Mus musculus: one gene and its partners. The protein of the gene in region 1 interacts with the protein of each later gene in a pairwise test. Links are inferred from orthologs where the notes say so. Each region holds a gene or a part of one and is shown in the gene's direction. Other genes may lie near its edges. The genes, in order: Cchcr1, Ushbp1 and Stx11.

Evidence for each region.
Region 2: the proteins of Cchcr1 (region 1) and Ushbp1 interact in binary tests that used the Homo sapiens proteins (3 or more experiments, as listed by UniProt). The link is inferred for Mus musculus from reciprocal best matches to the Homo sapiens genes CCHCR1 and USHBP1.
Region 3: the proteins of Cchcr1 (region 1) and Stx11 interact in binary tests that used the Homo sapiens proteins (3 or more experiments, as listed by UniProt). The link is inferred for Mus musculus from reciprocal best matches to the Homo sapiens genes CCHCR1 and STX11.

Annotation. Positions count from the first base shown.
Region 1 is NC_000083.6:35,523,687-35,527,335, forward strand, and holds part of Cchcr1 (coiled-coil alpha-helical rod protein 1), read left to right. Parts: intron 1-759; coding exon 760-923; intron 924-1,012; coding exon 1,013-1,148; intron 1,149-1,290; coding exon 1,291-1,401; intron 1,402-1,573; coding exon 1,574-1,723; intron 1,724-2,693; coding exon 2,694-2,804; intron 2,805-2,922; coding exon 2,923-3,029; intron 3,030-3,649. UniProt on the Homo sapiens protein: May be a regulator of keratinocyte proliferation or differentiation.
Region 2 is NC_000074.6:71,392,987-71,396,689, reverse strand, and holds the start of Ushbp1 (Usher syndrome type-1C protein-binding protein 1), read left to right. Parts: upstream 1-888; 5' UTR 889-976; intron 977-1,220; 5' UTR 1,221-1,296; coding exon 1,297-1,350; intron 1,351-1,518; coding exon 1,519-1,640; intron 1,641-1,879; coding exon 1,880-2,315; intron 2,316-3,703.
Region 3 is NC_000076.6:12,940,112-12,943,760, reverse strand, and holds part of Stx11 (syntaxin-11), read left to right. Parts: intron 1-34; exon of another isoform or gene 35-253; intron 254-1,777; 5' UTR 1,778-1,782; coding exon 1,783-2,646; 3' UTR 2,647-3,649. UniProt on the Homo sapiens protein: SNARE that acts to regulate protein transport between late endosomes and the trans-Golgi network.

The DNA of each region.
Region 1 (3,649 bases):
CACATAACTTTAATCCCAGCACTCGGGAGGCAAAGGCAGATGGATTTCTGAGTTCCAGGCCAGCCTGATCTACAAAGTGAGTTCCAGGACAGCCAGGGCTACACAGAGAAACCCTGTCTCAAAACAACAACAACAACAACAAAAAAGTGCTGGGATTAAAGGTGTGCGCCACCATGCCAGACTGACAGGGTCTTTTATTGACCCGCAACTTTATCATGTAGGCCAGACCAGGAGCTTCAGGGATCTGCCCGTGTCTCCTTCCATCCCACAGAGCAGGGGTGATTACAGGTGTATGCTGGCCTGTCTAGGTTTTTCACAAAGGTTTTGGGGCTCCTAACTCAAGTCTCTACAGCCTGAAAGACTCAGGCATGAGGTGGGGTCCTTTACTCTCGCTGTTAGCATGAACACGGAGAGACCGGGAAGTGAACTGGCAGGAGCTGATGTTTAAAACTAACTGTGGAGAACCAGAGGCCAAGATTTCCTCCATTGCTTACAGCAGCATGATCAGTTAGATGGCTCTCTGAGAGACAAGGCCCCAAGGTGGGGTGAGCCGCCCTGCCCCCTGAAGATTTATTTATGCTTGTGAGTGTGTGTTGTGTCAGTGAGTGTATACCACATGTGTGAGGGCCTCAGAGGCCAGAAGAGGACATTGGATCCTCTGAACTGCGCGTTGGGTGCTGGGAACTGAGCTTGGGTCTGCCCTGCTGAGCTCTCCAGCCCCTCAGGCTGGCCCTCTCTGAGCATGCTCCTCCTCCACAGCTGTCCTCCCTGACACAGGCTCACCAGAAGGCTCTCGACAGTCTGGCCAGCAAGGCCGAGGGCTTGGAGAAGTCTCTGAATAGCCTGGAAACGAAACGGGCAGGGGAAGCCAAGCAGCTGGCTATGGCCCAGAAGGAGGCGGACATGCTCAGGAACCAGCTGAGGTCAGTGGGCTGCGCAGGGCTGTTAGTGAGGGGTGCGGCATTGCCAGGCTGTTCTACCGAGGACTGGTCCATTTCTGTTTCAATCTTAGCAAGACCCAAGAAGAGCTGGAAGCTCAGGTGACCTTGGTGGAGAGTCTGAGGAAGTATGTGGGGGAACAAGTTCTTCCTGAGTTTCCTAGCCAGGAATGGGAGCTGGAACGAAAGGAGCTTCTAGACACCTTGAAGGTGAGAGAAAAGACTCCAGGGATCAGGGCATGACCTGGGAGGAGAGAGCACAGTGCCCTAGAGGGGAAGCCATGCTGCCCTTGAGACGGCTCACAGCCTGAGGTAGCATGGAGATCCTGACTGGTGGAGTTCCTTCTCCCAGCACTTGAAGGAGGATCGGGCTGACCTTCAGGCCACCGTGGAGTTACTGCAGGTACGAGTACAGAGCCTCACACACATGCTCGCCCTGCAGGAAGAGGAGCTGACCAGGAAGGTAGGACCCTCCCTCATCTTCCAGACCCTGCCCTGCTGCAGGCCTTCCCTTTCTGGGGGTAGTGGGTGGTATGCCACCAAGACCCCTAAACTCCTCACTGTGGACGGCAGGACAGGCAGGACAAAGGTCCCCACTTTCTTAGAACATCCATCTCCCTTCTTCCCCCGTACAGATTCAGCCTTTAGATCCCTTGGAACCCGAGTTTCCTAAGAAGTGCCGCTCGCTGCTGCGCAACTGGCGGGAGAAGGTATTTGCCCTCATGGTGCAGCTCAAAGCCCAGGACCTGCAGCACAGGGACTCCACGTCGCAGCTGAGGATCCAGGTCAGGGGCTGCGTCTCTGTCACTGTCATCCCGCACCCCGTGTCTCTCACAGTGATGACAGTTAGTCTCGGGGTGACTGCCACGTGCAGGGCACAGAGCCCCGAGCCGAGGAGTCCCCGTTCTCACGGAGCTTGAGTTCTAGAAGGATACGTAAAAAGATGGGTAGGCGTCACATTGTCATAAGTGCTGCGGAAAAGCAGTGGTGACAGACTGAGGTGGATGGATAGGATGGTCAGGGACGGCCTCTGAGGCCACAACGTCCACCAGGGCATGGCCACGGGCACGGTCAGGGGAAGGCTTGGGTCAGGAGGGTTTCCCAAAGTGTGGGCTTGTGCATCCTGAGTCGGAGAGAAGGTTCAAGACAGAGTTTCTATGTTCTGTGGCTGCCCTGGAACTCACTCTGTAGACTGTTCTGACCTATAAGTGATTGCCTGTCTCTCCCTCATGCTGGAATTAAAGACACGCCCCACCACACCGGGTTTTTTATTTTCTTTTTGTTTTTTTAGTACTTATTAATTTAGTTGGGTGTGGTGATACACTTCAATTCCAGCACTTAGGAGGCAGAGGCCGAGGCAGGAGGATCTCTGAATCTGTGGCCAGCCTGGTCTACATAGTCAGTTCCAGGACAGCCAGGGCTACATAGTGAAACCCTGTCTTAGAAAGAAATAAAAGGTGTGCTTATTTTGTTTTGTGTGTATAAATGTTTTGCCTGCGTGTATGTATGTGTACCATGTGCCCACGGAAGTCAGAAGGTGTTTGCTCTCCGAGAACTGGAGTTACAGATGGTTATGAGCTATCATGTGGGAAAGGGGAATGGAACTCTGCAGGAACAACCAGCGTTCTTAGCCACTGGGCCGTCTCTGCAGCCCGACTCCGGAGACTCCCGCCCTGTCTCCTTCATTCCCCTCCCACCCGTGTTCCCATAGCTTTGGCTCTCCATTTCCTTGCTTAGCTCCTTCTGCTTCCGTAGGTAGCAGAGCTCCAGGAGCAAGTGACCTCCCAAAGCCAGGAGCAGGCCATCTTGCAGCGTGCCCTGCAAGACAAAACTGCACAGGTGGAGGTGGAGCGGATGAGCACCAAGGTCTGAGGGTGCTCCCTAAGGGAGGAGGGTGAAGAAGACCCTAGCCCGGGTGTGTGGGCCACGTGCCAGGGAGGGAGGTCTACAAGAAAAAGTACACACAAAGCTGCATCCTTCCCAGAGCCTGCAGATGGAGCTGGATCAGGCTCAGGAGGCCAGGCGGAGGCAGGAACAGCAGATAGCCTCTGCTGAAGAGCAGTTGAAGTTCGTGGTCGGTGCTATGAACAGGTATCTGTTGCCTGGAAGAGCCTCGGGGAAGAGGGGCAGGAGGGTGCAGGGTGGAGGGGTGTCACCTCTGTATCACACCAGCATCACCCGCAGTGAACTGAGCTGTGGTTGGGCCACAGCAGAGGATCCTGCTTCCTGCACTTCAGTCTAGTGCGCTCTGAAGCTAAGTAGGACAGCTAGGCGGGGCTGTGGCTTCAGAGCTCAGGGATGGGAACTGGAGCCATGTGCAGTCCTTCCTCCCTCTCTTCCTCCTTCCTTCCTTTGCACACTCGCCTGGTCTGGCTGGGGGAGGCACCCTAATTGTACAGCTGGTCTGGTCTGTAGCTCAGTAGTAGAGCGCTTGCCTAGCATTCAGGTATCTCTGCTTTCAATCCCTGGCACCAGAATAAAAAGATGAAACTTTTTAACTTGCACAGAGTCAGACTAGTTTGGAAGAACCAACTAGTTTGGAAGATTCAAAGCACTGCATGTGCCTGCCTCCAGGAGGGTGTTGGGGTGTTGCTTATGGGGTACCTGCCTCCAGCAGGATGTTGGGGTATGGTGTATGGGGTGCCTGCCTCCAGGAGGGTGTTGGAGTGTTGTATATGGGGTGCCTGCCTCCAGGAGGGCGTTGGGGTGTG
Region 2 (3,703 bases), on another chromosome or scaffold:
AGTTCCGGTTTAATCACGCTATGGTTCTCAAGGCTTCTGCTGAAATAGGACAGAAGCCTGAGCTGGGCGGGGCCGTTTGATGATTGACGGGGTAGGACTTGGCTTGGACTTGCCAAAGGCCTTCTCAGTTACTTATGTAACTTAGGTTGGCATTCATTCACTAGTACCTTGATGAGGACTGGTGGTGCACACCTGTCATCCCAACACTCCAGAGACCCGGAGACGAAGATCGGGCGTTTAGACCAGGCTGGGCTAAATGAGACGCTGTATAAAAACTAAAATGTAAAGAAAAAGTAAAGAAGGCAGCAGACACACTGTGGACAAGCTTATTGTTGCCAGTGCCTCCAACCGCCTGATGCAGCAGTTCAGACTCATTGAAGAGAAACGTTGTGGGCTACTGAGCAGGTGCAGGCTCTTGCCACCAATCCTGAGGGGCCTGAGTTCGATCTCGGAGACAAGTAGGACCACCACAGACAAAGATGAGTAAAGCAAAGTAATGAAAAATAAAAGCTGTGCAAATGCTGAAGCCAACTCCTACAGTTTTGGTTTTTTTTTGGTTTTAGAAACACACACACACACACACACACACACACACACACACACACACACACACAAAGACCTTCACATTAGAGCGAGTCCTGGTGAACAGGGGACACAAAAAATCCAAAATGAAAATGGAAGGTTTGGCCTCGGGTAAGGGGATACTGATATCTTTAGAGCGGGACAAAGGTCCTGGTCCTCCATCCTCCTCCCGTTCTGGAGGAAGCCGGCATCCTGGAGAAGGAAACGAAACAATAACTGTCCATGTGATCAGGGTAGGGGGGCTTCCTGTTTCCCAGCCCCTCCCGGGCCACTTTTGGCTATCGCAGCCTCAGTAGCCAGTGGCCAGAATGGCTTGAGATATGCCCTGGATCTCAGGCCTTTCCCAAGGTGCTCTGGAGAAGCAGAGAAGAGCGCAGCAGGGTCAACCCCCAGGGTGAGGGAGTTTGATGCTAAGAGCCGTAGGAAGAAAGAGGATTTTAGGGTCCCTACCCAATGCTTCTATGGGGGGTGGGGCACAGATAAGAGAAACGCCTTCAGACAGCTGAGGGGAGAAGAATGCCCAGTAGAGATGGGGGATGGGGGAGTAAGGAACAAGTAGATAGTTAGTGGGCACTATTGGAGAGGTATATGAATATTTAAATGTGTCAATCGGAGTAGACACCCCAAAAATCCTACAGGAAACAAAAAAACAAAAAACAAGGATTCTAAGGTGACGAAGGCAAGAACTGAAAGCAGACTGTAGTGACAGAGGCAATGAGTGCCCGGGCCACACGGCCCCGAAGCCGTCGAGGGAGGCATCCTCTGCCTGTAAGTGTGCCCCTCTTCCTGCCACACTCAGTCCCATGGATCCTGGGAACCCAGGCCTGCTAGGCTCAGAGCCCGTGGTGGTGTAGGGGAGTCCTCCACAGGTGGAGCTGGATATGATGGCCAAGAGACTGTGTGTGTGTGTTGGGGGGAAACGGGGTTCATTCACAGGGGGAGCTAGACCCTGTAGCTGAGAGCTCAGAGGAAGTAGATGCCAACAATGGACGCTTCGAGACTAAACCTGAGCTGCATCAGGAATACCTTGGTCCTGGCCTTCAGAGCCCAAGGAACTGGTAGGATGCATTTAGTATGTACCCTATATTCTAGCCCAACACCCCAACACCCCCCCTGCACAAAGCTGCCTCCTGCCACTCACCTGCCCATTGCCTCTGCTGCCTGCCTCTCTCCTCTTCCTGTTTATCCTCCAGCCATGCCGCTCATTCCCTACTCTACCTTCCTAGCGACCCTAGGGTTAGCCCTCCAGGTCTCTTCTGAGCCTCAGGTGGCTGGGGTTCCCCCACTATCTTCACAGGATCAAGGAGGGTTGTGATGTGGGATCCCATGCGGTTCTATCCTTGAGCCCAGAAGAACAGTGCGAGCCTGAGGTGGAAGCCCACCAGGTCCTGCAAGAAGCCCCCCTGGATAGTGGCCCTGCTGAGATATCAGTACCCAGTGTGTATGAGACCTTGCAGTGCAGGCTGAGCTCCCTTGAGGCAGTTGTAGCTGCCTTGCGCCACCACTCGCTAAGCTTTCCAAAGTCAGTGGAAGCAGAAGACAGAGACCAGGGGGCTCCGGGGCCCTTTGGTGATGAGAAAGAAGACGCAGGACCTGGACAGCAGGAGGCTGCTCGCCTCATAGAGAGGAACGCCTGGCTGCGGCTAGCCCTGTGCAACCGGGAGGATGAGCTGGCATGCACTCAGGCTTCACTGCAGGACGCCCAGGCAGAGAAGGAGACTCTGCAGAGACAGGTAAGCTGGTGACTGGGGAAGAGGCAGATCCAGCCTTGGGAGCAGACACACTGATGTGGAACAGTGACAGATGTGCCAAGGAAGTGACCAACAGAGACAGCACAGTGAGAGGGAGAGCAAGGAAGACAGGCAGGCTGCACCCCATGATCTTAACACTCAGGAAGTCCAAGAGGGACAGTCTCCACTCAGGTGAGCCCTGGCTAAGACCAACTTTGTTCTCAGCTGTAGACTGAGTCCAAGGCTAGCCTGGATTACAGACCCTACCTATGTCAGTTGCACTACACACACACACAAACACACACACTAATCCTGTCTTGGGGGGTGTTTTTTATTTTTCGTTTTTTCGGATACAGAATTTCTCTGTGTAACAGAGCCCTGGCTGTCCTGAACTTACTAGGGTAGACTAGGGTGGCCTCAAAATCACAGAGATCCACCTGCCTCTGCTTTCCCAGTGCTGGGATTAAAGGTGTGAGCTATGCCAGACTTATTTTAGGGTTTCTATTGCTGTAATAAAACACCTCAACCAAAAGCAACTGGGGAGGAAGAGATTTATTTCATCTTAAGACTCTCAGGCCACACTCCATCACTGAGGGAAGCTCGGGCAGGAACCTCAAGGCATGGAGGGATGCTGCTTACTGGCTTGCTCCCTATGGCTTGCTCAGCCTGCTTTCTTATAGAACCAGGACCAACAGCCCAGGGATGGCACCACCCACAATGGGCTGGCCCCTCCCTCCCCATCAATTGTCAATCAGAAAAGTGTCCACAGGTCCATTTCGGGGAGCATTTTCTCAATTGTGGTCCCTCTTCCAAAATGATTCCAGTTGATGTCAAGTTCACACGAACCACCACAGATCCTGAGATCACTGTGGCTGGAACAGAGTGGGAGAGATGAAGGCGCGTGGGGGAAGGCCACAGTATGCAGGGTGTTGAAAGCTAGTGTGCTCTGGTGTGTGGTGGATTCTGAGGGGAACTGACCTGCTGCAGGCGTTCACTTGTGCCATCTGATGACTGTGAGCGGAACAGTCTGGCGGTGGACCATAATCCTGAAGGTGGAGGAGGGGTGAAGTGGCCCGGGGCGTTTAGTGGAGGTGACCAGAAACCTACAGATTATGGGTGATGTTAAACCCAGATATGGTGGGACAAGCCTGTAATGATAAGGACTTCAGAGGCTCAGATGAGAGGATCACAGTTTAACACTAGCTTTGACGAGATAGGCAAATGTCTCAAAACAAAACTAGGACAAGTAGGGATACAGAATCCTCCAGTCAGGGCTGTGGGCGTGACTGGGGGGGGTAGAGTGACAGCCTAGAATCCTCCAATGAGGGGCTAGGGGCGTGGCTTAGCACAGCTTTCAGAGACTTCTCACAACAACAAAAATGAATTCTCCT
Region 3 (3,649 bases), on another chromosome or scaffold:
ATCATGTGGGGCTGCTGCAATTCTTTCTCTGTAGCTCTCTTTCCTACCTGAGAGAGCATGCGGGATCTTCATGTCATTAGATGGCCTTCTAGACGCTGTGACCGTTGTAGCTTTTTGTGCATTGACGTCATTCCTGGATCTCTGCCGATGTACTAGAACTCCCAGGGTCCAGCTGCTCATCCTGCCTCAGCGTCCCCAGCAGCTCAAACCACAGCTACGCACCTTTGCAACGGACTTCAGTGTCCAAGTTTTGGTTTGTAACACCGTACTACAGTTGCCTTTATTTTGTTGTTATTTTGCTTCAAAGCATTTGTTCGTGTGCCTGTGTGTTCCTGTGCCTGTGTGCCTGTGTGGGAGTATATGAGTATATATGAGTATATGTATATGTATGTGTATGTGTATGTGTATGTGTATGTGTATGTGTATGTGTATGTGTATGTGTATATGTATATGTATACACACACACACACACACACACATATATATATATGAGTGTATACATGTCTTCCTCAGTCACTCTCCACCTTTTTTTTTTTTTTTTTGAGACAGAGTCTATTGCTGAAGCTAGAGCTCCCTGGTTTTGTGAGACTGGCTGACCTCCTGTCTGTGTAACCCCAGGGCTGGGATCACCCGTGTACCCTGCCACATCTGGCTTATAATAACAGGTGCTTAGGGATCAGGGTTCTGCGAGCCATCTCCTCAGCAGCCTTACAGCATTTGCTTTATTCCTTTGTTCGTTTATTTGCTTATTTACTTTGACACAGCATCCCTGGCTAGTATGGAACTTACTATGTAAACCAGGCTTGCCTCAAGTTTACAAAAATCTGCCAGTCTTTGCCTTTGGACCAAAGGCACATACCACCATGCTCAGCTCTTGATAAAGGGGTTTTTCCTTTCATCTTTTGTTAGTTTCGTGTGTGTGTGTGTGTGTGTGTGTGTGTGTGTGTGTGTGTGTCTGTCTGTCTGTCTGTCTGTCTGTCTGTCTGTCTGTCTTTGGGTATGTGCACGTGAGTGCAGGTGACCATGATGCCCAGAAGAAGGTATTGGATCACCTGGAGTCACAGGCAGTTGTGAGTGCTCGCTGAAGCTAACACTCCCTGATTTGGTTAGACTGGCTGGTTAGTGCGGCACACATGAGTGCTCAGAACTAAACAGATCCTCAGCAAGAGCAGAACCTCATCTTAAGTGCCCTAGCCCTAGCCCCAGGCCTGTAAGAACTCATTGTGTAGACCAGGCTAGCCTCCAACTTACTGATAGCCACCTGCCTGTGCCTCTGTAGTACTGAGATTAAAGGTTTGGCCACCACATAGGCTAAAAGTTGTACTAAGTACAAGAGAATATATTTACTAGTGACAATTGGCCACAAAATACAGAGCATTTAATGTCTTTTTCAAAGTCTTGTAAGCTGCCTTTATTGAAAAGTTTACAAACCTTTTTGAGTTTTTTTCCTTGTGTCTGTGTGCCTAATTTCATGGTGGAGAAACAAAAAGCAAACAAAAGAAATTGTTTCCCAAAGCAATCTAAAAGTTTAAATTGCTGATTGAATTGGGGGTGCCCGTGATATTGAACTGCAGACGTGTAGAGGCTGTGAAACATAACTAAGGGTCTGAGTCACGGTATTTCTTTACTTCTAAATAAAATGTCACAGGGCATTTTGCCGCTTTAATGCCCACACGGAAAAGGAATTAAGAGCAAGCTCCTTACATTGAGCTTCAACCCCTCTGAATGCACAGATCTGACCATCATTAAAGGATCCTAACTGCTGTTTCTTTTGTAGGCAAAATGAAGGATCGGCTTGCAGAGCTTCAAGAATTGTCCAGGAGCTATGACCAGCAATTCCCAGATGGGGACAATGACTTTGACGCTCCTCGGGAGGACATAGTGTTCGAGACCGACCACATCCTGGAGTCCTTGTACAGGGTCATCCAGGACATCCAGGATGAAAACCAGCTGCTTCTGATAGACGTGAGGCGCCTGGGGAGGCAGAACGTCCGCTTCCTCACGTCCATGCGGCGCCTCAGCAGCATTAAGCGCGACACCAACTCCATCGCCAAGGCCATCAAGACCCGAGGCGAAGGCATCCACCAGAAGCTGCGCTCCATGAAGGAGCTGAGCGAGCAGGCCGAGGCCCGGCACGGCGCGCACTCGGCGGTGGCTCGCATCTCACACGCGCAGTACAGCGCGCTGGCCCGCGCTTTCCAGCAAGCCATGTACGAGTACAACCAGGCCGAGATGAAACAGCGCGACAACTGCAAGATCCGCATCCAGCGGCAGCTGGAGATCATGGGCAAGGACATGTCGGGCGAGCAGATTGAGGACATGTTCGAGCAGGGCAAGTGGGATGTATTCTCCGAGAACCTGCTGGCCGACTTGAAGGGCGCGCGGGCTGCGCTCAACGAGATCGAGAGCCGCCACCGCGAGCTCCTGCGCCTGGAGGGTCGCATTCGCGATGTGCACGAGCTCTTCCTACAGATGGCCGTGCTAGTGGAGAAGCAGGAGGACACGCTGAACGTCATCGAGCTTAACGTGCAGAAGACCCTCGATTACACGGGCGAGGCCAAGGCGCAGGTGCGCAAGGCGGTGCAGTACAAGAAGAAGAACCCCTGCAGGACCATCTGCTGCTTCTGTTGTCCCTGTGTCAACTAGCCGCTGGCTTGAGTCTCCACTGCACGTGCCATGTGGGAAACATGTCCAGGATGCCCAGCCAAAGGCATCTTGCACTGGGCCGAGGGAGAGGGTCCCAATACCTTGCAGAATTCAGAGCATAGAGAAAGTGGGGGTTGGGATGCAAGATTTGGAGTCCGGCACCTGCTGCCTTCAAGGAATAGTTGTTAATATCCAATGGCTACTTAATGTAGACAGATTTCCACTGGCGTTGTGTGATGTCATTATAAAATACATAGCACTCAGCATCACGGGGAGGAACTAAGGTCATTTGCTAAGATGTGTGTCTTGAAAGGAGGAAGCCAAGAGAACAGGATGCTAATAGTATGAGTACATTATCAAAAGTTGCCTTTGTTTATCCTCTCTGGAAAGTTCCTTGGTGCTATATGGTTTTGAATGACATTCACTTCAGTATTCATTACGTCTGTTCATTTTCGTGGAACTTTGACCTTGGGTAAATTGGCTGCCATTCACTTCTGATTATTTATGTTGTGTGAGCCCTGCGTGAACTCCTTCCCTTGGCTCGCTCCCACTACACAGTAACCCTCACTGGACACTGGCTCCTTACCTCTCTCACCTTTTATATCGTCCACCAGCTTATATATGAATATTTTTAAAGCACCAAATATTGAACAAGCACTCAAGTTGAGCTTTATATTGGTCACATTTTATGGATTTTTCACAGATAACATTTATTTAAAATTTATCTTTGTACTTCATTTCATATGAATATGGGTGTAATTGTAAACTAATCTCCATTCCTATGTGTACATTAATGGCCAATTAGATTGACTTTGCTTTTGGAAATTCTGTATATAAACAACAAGAGCAGTTTTTGCTGTGTGCCATTGTTTGATGATCCTGAGTGTATTTCATGCCTGTCTGCACAGTCCAGTTTGGGTCTAACTTTATTTTGAACAACTGTGTGCTGTCATTAATAAAGAGAAGCGAGGAAGATTGGAAACTTGTGAAGCAGCTAGAGATG